Lytechinus pictus: one gene and its partner. The protein of the gene in region 1 purifies or fractionates together with the protein of each later gene. This does not show direct contact. Links are inferred from orthologs where the notes say so. Each region holds a gene or a part of one and is shown in the gene's direction. Other genes may lie near its edges.

Region 1 (7,985 bases):
GAAACTTTTGGGATGGTATTTTTACACTATAAGCCTAATGTTAAGCCCATTTTCAAGAACCAAAATGAGAATTTTTAAATCAGAACAAAGTGAAATGATCACTTTAAAAATTGTATGGGTACATTTGAAGCCCTTAGATATATGCTTCAAGCTGATATATTGATTGTTTCTCTAATAAAATCTATTTGGATTTTACAGCCATTTTTGTCAAAAATTTTCCAACTAACCCCGGTCTCCCCTAATGAAGTTTTTAGTTTGCAAAGTAATCAGTATTTTTGTAACTAAAGGAGAATCATTAATAATTAAATCCTTTGATTCGGGGGATTGACCCCATGTATGGGTCCTAGGTTCCTTACACTGTGCAAGATAGGTCCATCTGGATCTGTGTAGGAAGAGAAACCAAATTTTTTTTTTTTTTAAGTGTGAAATTTATAAATATCTTCCAAACAGACAGAGTTCAGCCAATACAATACTTGAATTTTCATGATTAGACATTGCAAGACATGTGTTTTCTCTTAAATATTTCTTCCTATTCAAATTTAAACTTGCCATAATAATGATTGGACATGAAAATGTGGCAATCAGCAGAAATACAAGACTAAATAAACTCAATCAATGTTTAGAGCAAGGTTTTACTAAGTGATTACTTAAACTTTTTTTTTTAGAAATGGCAAAGAATGATTTTCCTGATGGTTGCACCCTATCCTGCACAGAAAGCAGTTGTGTGTTGATTGGCTGATTGTTTGGTGGGACATTTGAAACCATGCAGTGTTAATCTTTGTATGATACATGTATGCATTTAAATGTCCATTTATGAATTGAACTTCATGGTGAAAGTTTCAGGAGTTGTTTTTAAGTATTCAAGGAATCGTGAATTGGAAAAATTTAAACTAAGGCAAAGTTTTCCTTTAAATCGATTCAATGTACAATTTAATGGGAAAGTTCACCCTGACAAAAAGTTAATTGTAATTAATAGCAGAAAAAATAATGAAAAATATTGTCGAAGGTTGGAGCAAAATCCATCTAAGAATAAAAAAGGTTATTGGAATTTTATATATTTGATTTGTGACATCATAAGCTAGCAGCTTTCCTACATATCGTATGGTAAAATATCAATGAAATGTCATTTTAGAAAATTGAAAATGGTTTTTACTGTAGGGGAGACCGGGGTTAGTTGGAACATTTTTGACAAAAATGGCTGTAAAATCCAAAAAAGATTTTATTCGAGAAACAATCAATATATCAGCTTGAAGCATATATCTACAGGCTTCAAATGTACCCCATAAAATTTTTAACTCTATATGGATACTGAAAAAAATCCACCTTGAACAAGACCATCGCAAACGTTCCAACTTACCCCAATACGGGGTAAGTTGGAACATGGTATGGGGTAAGTTGGAACACTGCATGGTCAATTAAGAATTATACTAAAACTACTTAAAACTGTAATATTACATGGTTTTAGCCTATTTGCTTTATTTTATTCAAGTTCAAAATATCAAAGTGTGGATTCATTGAACTTTATGTTTTCTATTATACAGCCACTCATGCAAGCAGACTGTGTAGTAGAATTCCGCATATTTGGGTGTGTTTGATTTTACATGCAATTAGGTGTACTATCAGTAATTTCATGTACTTCTGCATCAACTTTATAAGACAAAAATTAATTGTTTATAGTTTTTCATTAATTAATTATGCAAATAACTACAAATAAGCATATGAAATTTGCCCTAAATTTGCTTTTTTTGGTATGTTTTTGCCTTTAACTCTATTTATTAAGCTAGTAGAATGCTAATTTTTGGTGAGAGTATCAATTTTCACATTTATAACAAATATCCACCAAAAATGGCAAAAAATATAATTTCTTATGTATTTTTTGTTTTTTTTATTTGTATTTTCGAACTTTATTCCGATGAACTTTTTCGGGACTCTTTTGCGATCATAAATAGCATAAAATAAATCTATTTGAACCAACAAAAGTAAAAAATAATTATACATTTATGACTTTTGGGTTGAAAAACATAATTTGCATTGACCTTGTACATGGAATCACGTTTTTGAACAATTTGGGGTTTGACCATGCACGTACAAATTGTTGCGTAAATTCGAAACCGCGCACACAGGCATCGCAAATTTGGTCTCAAATGATGCGCAAGACTTGAAAGAAAAAAGTCAGCGAGCAGTGTAGTAAAAAAAAATTCGCGCGACGGCGTAGTGGCGAAATTTCTCGAGGGGGGGGGGGGGGCTCAAATTGACCCCCAGTTTGATAAGGGTTAATATTGCATTAGGGGCCTACCATAGGCCTTAAATGCACACTCAGACCTAACTGATAAACAAAACAAGCATGGTATACAATACATGTTCAGAAGAGCGTGAAATACTTTATATATTTTTTCTCATATCCAATTTTTTTATTCATAATTATGTTTGGGATAAGTTGGAACATGTTCCAACTAGCCCCTTCAATTTTGTTCCAACTAACCCCGGAGGCCCATTTGACGTTTATAAGCTTACAGCACAAAAAAGGAACTTGACCATGGCATATTAATAACATAATTTTGTAGCTTGGTATAAGTGTCTATTATACCCCCAAACTGGCCAACTTGATCTATAAACTTCTCTGAGATAATCAAACATTTCTGAAAGAGAAAAAAATTACTCAGAAGGTCAGAAAACAAAAATTCCTTTCTAACTTCACCAGGCTTGTTGCACATGTGTTGTCTGTAATATGGTGGATGGCTGTTGATAATGACAATAAATAGGGGGCAGTATTGCAGAAATTTATTTAAAGACGTGAAAGAAAATTACAATGTTTCAACTTACCCCGCGTTCCAACTAACCCCGGTCTCCCCTACCTTCAGTATATCAATACATAAATCATTTCACACCCGTGTCTTAAAAGAAAACAAAAATAAGTCATCAAAAACCATTAAAAAATTGAAATTTATGCATTTTATATCATATATAACATATGGGGCAGCTGCTCGTTTATGATGTCACAAATCCAAAACTTTAAATTCTGATAACTTTCTTAATCTTTAATGGATTTTCCTCAAACCTTCAGCAGTATTTGTCATTATTTTTCTGCTATTTTTACAACAAACTTTTCATCAGGGTGGGTGAACTTCCCCTTTAAACAGGTCCTCGATCAGTTACATATAAAAGCATGCTGCTGTTTGATTCAAATTGATGCATCAATGCATAGGAAGTATATTTATTCCACATGTGTGCTATAAATCATCAAGGTAGATCACATCAACTGTACAAATGTACTATACTATGTCACAGACTGTTTAGTTTTATCAAGTACCTGTCTTCAAGTTACTGAACCCCACTATCCTCCTCTCTTCAGCCTGGATGTTAAAGGACAAGTCCACCCCAACAAAAAGTTGATTTTCAAAAAGGAGAAAAATCCAACTAGCAAAACACTGAAAATTTCATCAAAATCGGATGTAAACTGAGTTATGACATTTTAAAGTTTCGCTTAATTTAAAAAACAGAATTATATGCACATCCTGGTCGTTATGCAAATTGGCAGACTGATGACGTCACCCACTCACTATTTCTTTTGTATTTTATTATATGAAATATGAAATATTCTAATTTTCTCCTACTTGTCAAGTGAAACAAAGTTTTATTCCTCCCTGAACATGTGGAATTACCATTATTCTAACAGTTTATGGTTAAGTTAAGTTGGTCCTTATTGTCAAATCTGTAAAAATTGAAATATTGTATTATTCAATATGAAATATTCTAATTTTCTCCTACTTGTCAAGTGAAACAAAGTTTTATTTCTCCCTGAACATGTGGAATTACCATTATTCTAACAGTTTATGGTTAAGTTAAGTTGGTCCTTATTGTCAAATCTGTAAAAATTCAAATATTGTATTATTCAATATGAAATATTCTAATTTTCTCCTACTTGTCAAGTGAAACAAAGTTTTATTTCTCCCTGAACATGTGGAATTACCATTATTCTAACAGTTTATGGTTAAGTTAAGTTGGTCCTTATTGTCAAATCTGTAAAAATTCAAATATTGTATTATTCAAACAAAAGAAATAGTGAGTGATGGACATCATGGACTCTCTCATTTGCATATCGCTGAGTTGTGCATTTAACTTTTTTGTGAAAAATAAGCGAAACTTTACAATGTCATAACTTTCTTATTTTACACCCGATTTCGATGAAATTTGCAGCGTTATGTTTGTTTTATTTTTCTCTATCGATTCTAATCAACAATTTTCTGGGGTGGACTTGACCTTTAATGATGCAGGTTGATAATTAGGTAGCTTAGGCAGGGCCCGACATTAGCAGTGGCCTGATTGCCCGGGGCAACCAGAAATGAGAGTTGGGCCACCAAAATTCTTTACAAGCCCACACTTTGTTGCCCGGTTTGGCTACCAAAGTTTTGATAAATTGTAATGTTTTCTATTGTTTTAGGGCCACCAAATTTGTTTTGTGGGCCACCGAAAATATGATATTGATGATTTTGGTGGACTGAGCGGCCACCCAAGAAAAAAGTTAAGTGTGAAGCTTTGGCTTAGGTCTTGAGATCGTGCTGTTTAAACTTGTTGCAGTAAAGTAGATTCAAAAGAAATTAAAAGAATCAAGATTTGCCTATTCATTCAGGGGCCCATATCATAAAAAAGTTGCTAAAATAGCAACTGTTTCTTGAATATTAACATTTGTTGGAAGAGCCAATCAGAAAGCAGGATTGTCACTGTTGTCATACTACTTGACATTTCAGCAACACTTGCAACATTTTGTGAAATGGGGTCCTGATGTTGTTAACCTTTACTATTGATGATATTTTTTACGATGATGGTACAGCGCCTGTCCACAATCACTATGCTTGTTTTATTTATTCAATGAAATAAATGAGTATTAATTTGTGTTTTATTATTGCAGGTGATGTTGGGAATTATTACTATGGACAAGGACATCCCATGAAACCGCATAGAATACGTATGACACATAATCTCATACTCAACTATGGACTCTACAGAAAGATGGAAATCTATGTAAGTATTTTAAATCTTTAAACATTAGAGGGTGCTCTTTCAGCTGAAGAGTTACCAACAACTGCACAAAGCTTTGCTATTCAAAGATCACTTGAGACTTGTTGGTTTGCAATCAAAAGAAAAATGATCAGAAGATATGCATGCTCACCAATTTCTATATTTTGCTCTTGTTGATGCTGACATTCCTTCAACTATTCTTAAGCCTGTAGCTTAATATAATAAATGCAAGATTTATTATGCTTCATCTATCTAGTAAACTATCCTGGGAAGCAGATGGAATGGGGGGGGGGGGGCTAAGGATTTACATATAAAATAATGTTTGCTTGCTGTATGTATGGGTGCATGAACAGATCAAATGAGGTTCCAATATTCAACAAAAATAAGATGAAAACATATATGATTTTAGATATTTTTCAAATGTTTAAAGTGAATCTGCTGAAAGGATCCTCAGTGGAACAGCATTCCAGAGAGATGAGCTGAAGAGGCAAATTCTTTTGTCCTCTTATTTATAGTCGGGTCCAGATTTGAGAAAAGTAGACTGCCTTAGGCAAATCGTGTTAATGCTGAATTGAGAAGTGTTTTAGCATAATTTGAGGGCGCTGAGTCCAAATTTGCTGTTTGCCAACCTTGATTTTGATGTTAAAATCCTCAAATTGGCAAAAACAATATGGCCGCCATTCTACACCCTTTTTTTGCTCTATTCTGAACCCCAAAACTTGTAACAAAAATGCTTGTAATTGGTTTTTGTCTGACCTGCATAGCAGAGTGAGACTATAGGCGCCGCTTTTCCGACGGCGGCGGCGTCAACACCAAATCTTAACCTGAGGTTAAGTTTTTGAAATGACAGCATAACTTAGAAAGTATATGGACCTAGTTCATGAAACTTGGCCATAAGGTTAATCAAGTATTACTGAACATCCTGCCTGAGTTTCATGTCACATGACCATGGTCAATGGTCATTTAGGGTCAATGAACTTAGACCATGTTGGGGGAATCAACATCAAAATCTTAACCTAAGGTTAAGTTTTTGAAATGTCATCATAACTTAGAAAATATATGGACCTAGTTCATGAAACTTATACATAAGGTTAATCAAGTATCACTGAACATCCTGCATGAGTTTCACGTCACATGACCAAGGTCAATGGTCATTTAGGGTCAATGAACTTTGGCCGAATTGGGGGTATCTGTAGATTTACCATCATAACTTTAAAGTTTATGGATCTGATTCATGAAACTTGGACATAATAGTAATCAAGTATTACTGAACATCCTGTGCAAGTTTCAGGTCACATGATCAAGGTCAAAGGTCATTTAGGGTCAATGAACTTTGGTCAAATTGGGGTATTTGTTGAATTACCGCCATAACTTTGAAAGTGTGTTGGTCTAGTTCATAAAACTTGGACATAAGAGTAATGAAGTATCACTGAACATCCTTTGCGCATTTTAGGTCACATGACCAAGGTCAAAGGTCAATGAACTTTGGCCATAATGGGGGTATCTGTTGAATTACCATCATAACTTGGAAAGTTGATGGATCTTTCTCTTGAAACTTGGACATAAGAGTAATCAAGTATCACTGAACATCCTGTGCGAGTTTCAGGTCACATGATCAAGGTCAGAGGTCATGTAAGGTCAATGAACTTTGGCCACGTTGGGGGTATTTGTTGAATTACCATCATATCTCTATAAGTGTATGGGTCTAGTTCATAAAACGTGGAAATAAGAGTAACCAAGTATCACTGAACATCTTGTGCGAGTTATAGTAGTTTTCAAAATCAGCACTGCTGCTATATTGAATCGCGTGATGCAGGTGAGACGGCCAGAGGCATTCCACTTGTTGGTACTATCTGCTCGCAGGAATAACGTATTAAAAATTTACCAATATCCAGAGACGGGGAAAATGGATGTTTTCAAGATGGCGTCTAAGATGGCCGCCATTAACTGAAAATTTAAATAACCGACACTTTATCTATACTAGACATCTTTTTCGGTGCATACATGTACATGTATTCAATGGTGTAGGGGGTAAAAAGAAAGAATGAACATAAGCACTCCCAGGTACCTGAAAATCCAAGATTGCGTAAAAATGGCTGCCATGGCCTAACAATTCACAATTCATCTATTACCTATTTTAGTGTCTTTTATTTGGGTTTTATTCATTGGTGATTTCAAGGGTCAGGAAGTAAACTGGGACAAGTTACAAGGGCAGTCAAGGGTCCCTTATGTCCAAAAATCCAAGATGGCTTTCGAAATTGGAGTCTAAAATAGATGTTGTTATCTTAAAACCCGATATACAGTAGTTTGTGTAATATCTGCCTTGAGGATTATGATGTTGGTGTCTAACCCTTGGTTTAATGGGTCAAGAAATATGTTGGGACAAGTAACAAAGACAGTCTATGGCCCTCCATGTCCAAAATCCAAGATGGTTTGCAAAAATGGAGTATAAAATGTCTGTTGTTAATTTCAAACCGACACAGTTTGTTTAATAACCGCCTGGGTATATGATTATGTTGTCTAACCCTTGATTTAAATGGTCAAGTAGTACATTAGGATAAGTTACAAGGGCAGTCAATGGTCCTGTATGTCTAAAAATCCAAGATGGCTTCCAATGAAGGAGTCTAAAATGGCTGCTGATACTCTGAATATGATTTTTTTAGTATAACCCATGGTTTAAAGGGTCAAGTATTACATTGGGACAAGTTACAAGGACAGTAATAGTGGTTCCAGTATGTCCAAAAATCCATAATGGCTTCCGAAAATGGAGTCTATAATGGCCGTTCTTACCAAAAAACTGACATAGTTTGTTTAATATCAGCCTGGGGTATATGATTTTGGTGTTTAACCCATGGTTTAAAGGGTCAAGTAATAAATAAAGACAAGTTACAAGGACAGCCAGAGGTCCAACATGTCCAAGAATCCAATAAGGCTTCCAAAATTGGAGTCTAAAATTGCTATTGTTA
Region 2 (7,523 bases), on another chromosome or scaffold:
AATATTCAGACCATAAAACATACATTTTTACAGAGCACTTTTTAAAAATCAATTTGTAAAGCAAACAAAATAATGAAAGTTAAATTTCCGAGCTGAAATACGTTTTGTATTTGGACTTCAAAATTTGATATTTTAAGCTCCATATTGAGCAAGATATGTAAATCACCTAAAGGGTTATGCGAGCGCGAAGCGCGAGCGAAAATTTTATATCCCGACATGAAAGATTTTTAAAATTATTTTCCAAGTCTTCCCCCATCTTATTTTATTCACTCGTCTTCCTCCTCTTATGTTTCTTCTTCTTTTTTTCTCCTCTCTTTTCCCTTCTTTTTTTTTCTTTTTTTTTCTCCGCCAATAGGGGGGGGGGGCGGGCCCCTCGGGCCCCCCTGGATCCGCCTATGGTGCTGCACTCGACCCAGGTTAGGTGAATGGGTACCCGGTAGGATCTATACCTTGAAAGCTTTAGCGCCTATACGGCGCGCGCGGCTCAGCTACAGCCGGGGTAATGATGATACCAAGTATCCCGACAAGTATCAAGCAATTATAGTAGCTGCGCTATACAAATGGAACATAAATAATAATTATTTTTATTACTATTATTATTATGGTCCTGGGAAGCAGGGGTGCTATGGGGGTGAAGCACCACCCCCCCCCCCCCTAAAATTTTCCTTGGGAGTGCTGCGCCGTGTGTTACCATATAAATGACAAAAATGTAATGAAAAGTGAACGAGATTTATTAGGAAAACCTTTTTTTTCTGTGGACCAAAACCACTTTTATTCTGGATTGAACCCCCCTGTTTTTTTTTATTGCTTGTTAAATATTTCTCGGGACCGAAAGCACCTCAATTTTAAGTAAAAACTTCTTCTTTTTTTTTTGGTTGTCAAATTCACATCAGCACTCCCTCTCTAAAAATCGCTCCCAGAGCCCTGGTCAACTCATCCTCTCCGAGTGAACAGGGGTATTTTCAGTAGTATGATTATAATTGCCTTAAAGCTTAAATAAAAAGTGTCATTCAAGATGAACAGGGTCTAGGTCCCTTCGTCAATATCATAGACGCCTTTAGGCCGATCCAGGGGGGTGAGGAACCCCCCCCCCCCCCCATTTGCGGAGCAAAAACGAAAGAAAAAGGGGAAAGAAAGAAAAGAATGGAAAGAGGGGAGAACAAACAAAAGAAGAGGAAAAAAGAGGCGGAAGACGAGTGAATAAAATAAGGTGAGGGGAAGACTTGGAAAAAAAATCTTTCATACGGTCATTAAAAAAAAATTCGCTCGCGCTCGCATTGCATGTTCGGTGACTCACTGAACATGTAATACATAATCATATCTTGCTCAATAGGCTGATATGGAGCTTTAAATATCAAGTATCGAAGTCAATATACAAAATATATTTTAGTTCGGACGTCGAGCTTTCATTATTTTGTTTGATTTACAAATTGATTTTCAAAAAGTGTTCAGTTGTAAAATGTCCGTTTTATTGTCTGAGTATCAACATTTTCAGCTCGCGCTGCGCGCTCGCATTATTTGATTTGCAAAATACCTATTCTCTTAGTGTGTTCCATAAAGTGATCTAAATTATATCCCTTTCCGGTTTGATTGTCAAAACCAATATAGCTAGCACTGCGCGCTCGCATTTTGATTGGTGAGTAATGTATACCTCTATTGATATTATATAACAAACTTTATGATCCCATTTTCCTGACGTTTTATCAAAAATTTTGACTAGCGATTTGCACTCGCATTAATAAATTGTTGATAATATATGAACCCATGCATATCCTATTCATAACCGGGATTCATAATTACCAAATTGCTTTCTCCAGTTTTCATTGAATTTTTTCGGCCCCCCCCCCCCCATCATGGCGAAAGCTGGATATCCGCCCCTGAAATATCTCAGGTATTTATAGGACAGATTCTGGATCATAATTATCTGTGTAATAAAGTTACGCGGCCCAGGCCCCTCATTTTCATAATTTTCTTGATACTTTTCCCTTTCTCCCTTTTAATTCTTGTTTTGAATTCTTGACGCAGTCCCTCGGGCTTGACATCATAGGAGGTGGTTCCCTCCCCCTCCCCAGGGGCGGATCCAGCCTTCGCCAATAGGGGGGGGGGGCTGAATTTTTTTCAGCCATATTTCCCCCGATCGGCCGCTCGAAGATGATTTTTGGTTTCTTTGAAGGGGTAATCCTAATAGTCACTTCTTAGCTTTATTCTTATAAATCAACATAAATATATAATATCATAATCCTTATTTATATAATGCGAGCGCGAAGCGCGAGCTAAATTTTTTGGAAATCTTATGCATTTTTTTCCTAAAATATGAACATTCTGGGCAATTTTTGTTATCCTGAAAAAGATGTGTATGCAACTAAATAATTACTACGAACGCGAAGCGCGAGCAGAAATGAACTGATGGAAAAAGTACTTGTTAAAGACTGTATGCAGTTAGCCATGAAGACGTTATATTTTAGAAATCAAATAATGCGAGCGCGAGCTGAAAATTTTTGACATTTTTACCTAAAGAATGGAAATTCTGAGCACTTTTTGTAACTTAAACAGAATAGGTATATAACTAAACATTGATGCGAGCGGAAAATTTTCGAGATTTAGACCCACTGAACGAGACACTCTATTCATGTTTTGTAAATCATGAAAAGGATGAGTAATTGGGGATCTTCCTTACACTAATAATGCTAGCGCAAAGCGTGAGCAGAACATTTTTATACGCGTTTTGAACTGATCGAAAAAGTACCTATTAAGGACTACTTGCATGCACTTAGCCATGAAGACGTTTACATATTTCAACAATCAAATAATGCGAGCGCAAAGCGCGAGCTGAAAATTTTCACATTTCTGCATTAGAATGGAAAATTTTAATCAATTTGTGTAATCGTGAACAGGATAGCTATATAACTAAACATTGATGCGAGCGCGAAGCGCGAGCGGAAAAAAAATCGAGATTTAGACCCCAAAACGGGACACGCTATTCATGTTTTGTAAATCATGAAAAGAATGAGTCATAGGGGATCTCCCTACATTAATAATGCGAACACAAAGCACGAGCAGAATTTTTTTGATATTGTGATCTGAAACTGGATAATGATTTAAATAGAGAACAAGTTGAGTATCTGAATAAACATGTGCGCGCGTGTTTCATATTTTGACATAGAATCTAGGCATTCTATATACATATTTTATCATGAAAATAAAAGCGAGCGCGAGAAGCGCGAGCTTAAACTATTTGATATTCCGATCTGAAAAAAGAGTCAATTTCAGCTCTCTATTTCAAGCACTTTGTAGGAAAATTGTGAGGCGGATATCGATCGCACTTGATAAAGAGCTGATATTTTTCATTATAATTACTTTGAGTTTTGACATAGGACATAGGACACCGGATAGGACATCCTTAGGACATGTCATCATAATTATGAAAATGATGACTGTCTTCCTATTCTTCTTGCTAAGCGCGAGATGAAACAAAAGGGACATTTCAATTATTAAATTGATATCTTATTCATTAATGCCTAATGAGGGCGCGAAATCTGATGATATTATGGCCTGAAACTGGATATTTCAAGCACTTTTGTAATTATAAATAGGTTGCATCAGTTAATATGTCTTTAACCATTAACGCGAACGCAAATTGCGAGCCTAAGTTTTTTAAACACTGTCATGAAAAGGGAATTTTAAGAAGTTTGTTATGTAATCAATATTGAGACATACATAACTCGACCATCAAAATGCGAGCATGCAGCGCTAGCTGATACGTTGTGACAATCAAACCTGAAAAGGGATATTTTGACAACTTAATGGAATACACGAAAATAATAAGTACCTGATAAATCAAAATTTGCTAGCGCGCAGCGCGAGCAGAAAATGTTAATATTCAGACCATAAAACTGACATTTTTACAAAGCAATTTTTAAAAATCATTTAGTAAATCTCACAAAATAATGAAAGTTCGATTTTTAGAGATGAAATATGTTTTGTATATTGACTTCCAAACTTGATATTTAAACTCCATATTGAACAAGATAACCTTTATTGAACAAAATCACATAACAGGCAATGCGAGCGCGAAGCACGAGCAAATTTTATTTTTATAGTGACATCATAAGATTCTTTTCATTTTCCAAGTCTTCCCCTCATCTTATTTTATTCACTCGTCTTCCTCCATTCCTTTTTTCTCCTCTCTTTTCCCTCCTTTTTTTGTTGTTTGTTTATTTCTTTCCTTTTTTTTTTGCTCCGTCAATAGGGGGCGGGGGGGGCGGGCCCCTCGGGCCCCCCTGGATCCGCATATGCGTCCCCCTCTAATGAAAGGAAAAGATCACGGGTCTAGTCAGGTTGTCATCTTTTAGAAGAATAGATCAGTTTACAAAACCTTTTATTAAACCATGCAAACTGCTTTTAGATTATTAGACATTTTAATTTTAACTTGAAAGTAAAGGGGCATTGAACTCCGTCCGACTCCATCCATACGCTGCTGTACACATGCGCAATGGTGACGTGCAGCTCGCATATCGATAGCTTATCGTGCGATTACGATATCTACGTACGGTAATGTTTTCGACTTCGGAGAGGAACATTTTTATCACAAATATGTGACTGAAAACACATCTCTTTAAGGAGTAATCTGTGGTGTGACTAAATAATAAAGGATTTTATTGGAATCATAATCATGGATGACGGTCAGGCTTTCGTTCCACCACCGGAAGCTCCCGTTTTTGAACCATCAGAGGAAGATTTCTCGGACCCCCTCGCTTACATTGCCAAGATACGGCCCATTGCAGAGAAAACTGGCATTTGTAAAATTAGACCTCCTCCGGTAAGACAACCGAAATGTGTTTTAATACAATTCAGTTTTAACATATTTTTCTCTTGTCATTCATTGAATGTTTGCTCTCAAATGTTAGGTAATATTCCTTTCTACGGTAATCTTGTCCCCAATTCCCACATAAATATATTAGATTTTGTACTTTCACTTAAAATGAAGGAGTTGTTTATCTCGCTTTTGACTTTGCTCCCATAGTTGATCGTGTGTCTGCCTATGCAGCGTAGAGGTTGCGCTAATGTCACTGCGTGCAAACGCTCCCTCGGCTTTTGTTCGAACTCGACGAATGTGATGCAACGATGCTAATTCAGAAAAAACTTCCTTCAAATAATTCGTTTTCGTAGCGTATATATTGAAGAAATCAGGAAGTTTTTACCATCAGTTGATAGGCAAATGGTGTGCTGACAATTTCAATATCATTTTTTGGACTGCCCATCTCAATTTTATCTGACATTTTCATCCCCATGAAGCAGTCAGAAAACTGTTAATTCAGACATTTTGCTGGAGTGGGTTGAATAATCTGGTGAACTGCAAGTTGAGAATGCCAAATGACCATATTCTGTTTCACATAAATTGAAATATTCTGATACACAAACAGTATTTTCAAGCAAAATTGACCAGAATTCCAATTACCTGCATTTTCTTGTACAAAATTCTTCAGAAATCCCTTTTGCATTTTATTTTCAACAATCCAAATATTGACAAATTGTGAACAATTTGCTTTGACAAAATGGCCACCCTGCTGCTCACTGGCACAGCACAGCTGTGTCATGAGTGACATGGGAATGGGATTTTTGTGCACATTTAAACCCCGTTGTTACCTTTTTTATGTCCAGATAGGTTTTGAATCTGGACGAACAGAAAAAATATTACATAGGTCTAGATGTAGATGGGGATTTCAAGAATAATTTCATAATAAGGGTCTAGACTCAAGCTAGGCCTTGAGTTGAGATCTACATACATATGCATGTACACTGTAGTAGAAAATTCATATTGAAAATTTCACACTAGTTATCACAGATGTACCGTATGGGTACTAGTATTCAACCCGGCATAATTCAAAGATTTTGACATATTCCCCAAAATATTTAGAAATAGGGAATTTATCTTAATTTCATACCTTTGTTATTTCCAGGATAATCTGTTGTCGATATTTTCTTTGTCAATCTGTCGACTGTAGGCGCGGAGGATCGAATTATGCGGCGATGGCCTTTTGCACTGAATGGTACTAGTATTCAACCTAGTGAGGATTGATAGCAAATCTCAAAAGGGTTTAGATTGCTAAATTAGATCTAGATCTATGTAAGTCTCTGGCTTTGATTAATTCCCTGTTTGGTCTCATCTCAAATGGTCTAGTCCATAGTCGGATGGGACAAGGGCAGATTGAGAGACAGGGCCATCTTTCATCGCTAGGTTGAAAACTAGTGCCGACGGGTTGAATACTAGTACCAAAATCCCTCGCCGTATAATTCGATCGCCCGCGCACACAGTCAACTGGTTGAAGAAAAAAATAACAGAAAAAGAATAACCAGCATTTGCTCTTGGAAATAAGACGGGTCTGAAATTCAGGTAAATTCTATATTTCTATATATTTGAGGAAACTCTCCAAACGGGTTGAATACTAGTGCCCTTACGGTATGTCATGAATCTAACAAGAAACTACATGTACTTTCAAATTTAAATATTGTCATATTCATCTTGAGCATAAAGAAACCTATTCATTCCTCATCAAACTGTAGACACAGTTTGAGGAATATCTGAAATACTGTAAGAAATCAAGTGAAACATAATTGCCAAATCTAGGGGTCTGCTGATCTGGTTAAAAAGTTTACTGAAAAGGCTTTCGAGAAACATGTAGGCTTACACAATCTTTTCACATGGACATGGATCATTAGACATGCAGTGATCATGACTTCAGACCTGACATGTTGCCATTGTGTTTATTATCTTGTGACATGAAGAAAATCTCTTTTTTTTTCCAAAGAAACCACAGCAGATATGGACTTTTCTGTCCATAGCCTTTTCTTACAATACGTGTATGGTATGATTAACATGCAGGTTTAATCAAAATTCTTGAAATTAATGGTTATGCGGACATTGGCACCATTTGGTAAATTCTTTTTACAGTACTTACTTATGCCTATGGTAAGGTCCCCCAAGTCTGCGCATACATGTACAGTACCAGTCATCAATCTCCGAGTACATGCGGCGAGCCATTTCCGGCCGTTGCAGCATACATGATTACATGTACCATGTACGTGTATCTGCGCAATTCGAATACAAGGAGACATGCAACGACCACAAACTTTATTGCAATACATGAACAGATAATCATTAAAAAATCCTACTTAAAACGGTGAAAAAATATTGAATTTCAGACATTTCATGTGATGGCCACAAAATGCAGCCTTGGCTGGATTTACAAAAATGTATAAATCGCTTTATGCAATGCAGGCTTGTTACGATCATCTGCGTTTGCGGAGCGGGGATGGCTGCACCCTTTCAAGAAAACCAGGGGAGCTTTTCTCGAAAGGGTGGGTTGAGGGAGGGGAGTAAAATAAACGCACCTTTTCGCAACAACCGGGTCGAGCTTTTCACGAAAGGCTGTGTTTAATAGTTTTCTGAACCAGTCGTTTCTCTGAAAATTATTCATCAAATAATAACAACAATATACTATTTATAGACTATTAGTATAGGC

Evidence for each region. The genes of interacting proteins can lie anywhere in the genome.
Region 2: the proteins of histone deacetylase 1 (region 1) and lysine-specific demethylase 5A-like purify together in Drosophila melanogaster (affinity purification with western blotting; 3 studies listed by BioGRID, with this or other methods). This does not show direct contact. The link is inferred for Lytechinus pictus from reciprocal best matches to the Drosophila melanogaster genes HDAC1 and Kdm5.

The regions. Positions count from the first base shown.
Region 1 is NC_087261.1:582,943-590,927, forward strand, and holds the start of histone deacetylase 1, read left to right. Parts: upstream 1-4,903; 5' UTR 4,904-4,947; coding exon 4,948-5,022; intron 5,023-7,985. UniProt on the Drosophila melanogaster protein: Catalyzes the deacetylation of lysine residues on the N-terminal part of the core histones (H2A, H2B, H3 and H4).
Region 2 is NC_087247.1:31,238,649-31,246,171, forward strand, and holds the start of lysine-specific demethylase 5A-like, read left to right. Parts: upstream 1-4,511; 5' UTR 4,512-4,672; coding exon 4,673-4,819; intron 4,820-7,523. UniProt on the Drosophila melanogaster protein: Histone demethylase that specifically demethylates 'Lys-4' of histone H3, thereby playing a central role in histone code. Does not demethylate histone H3 'Lys-9', H3 'Lys-27', H3 'Lys-36', H3 'Lys-79' or H4 'Lys-20'.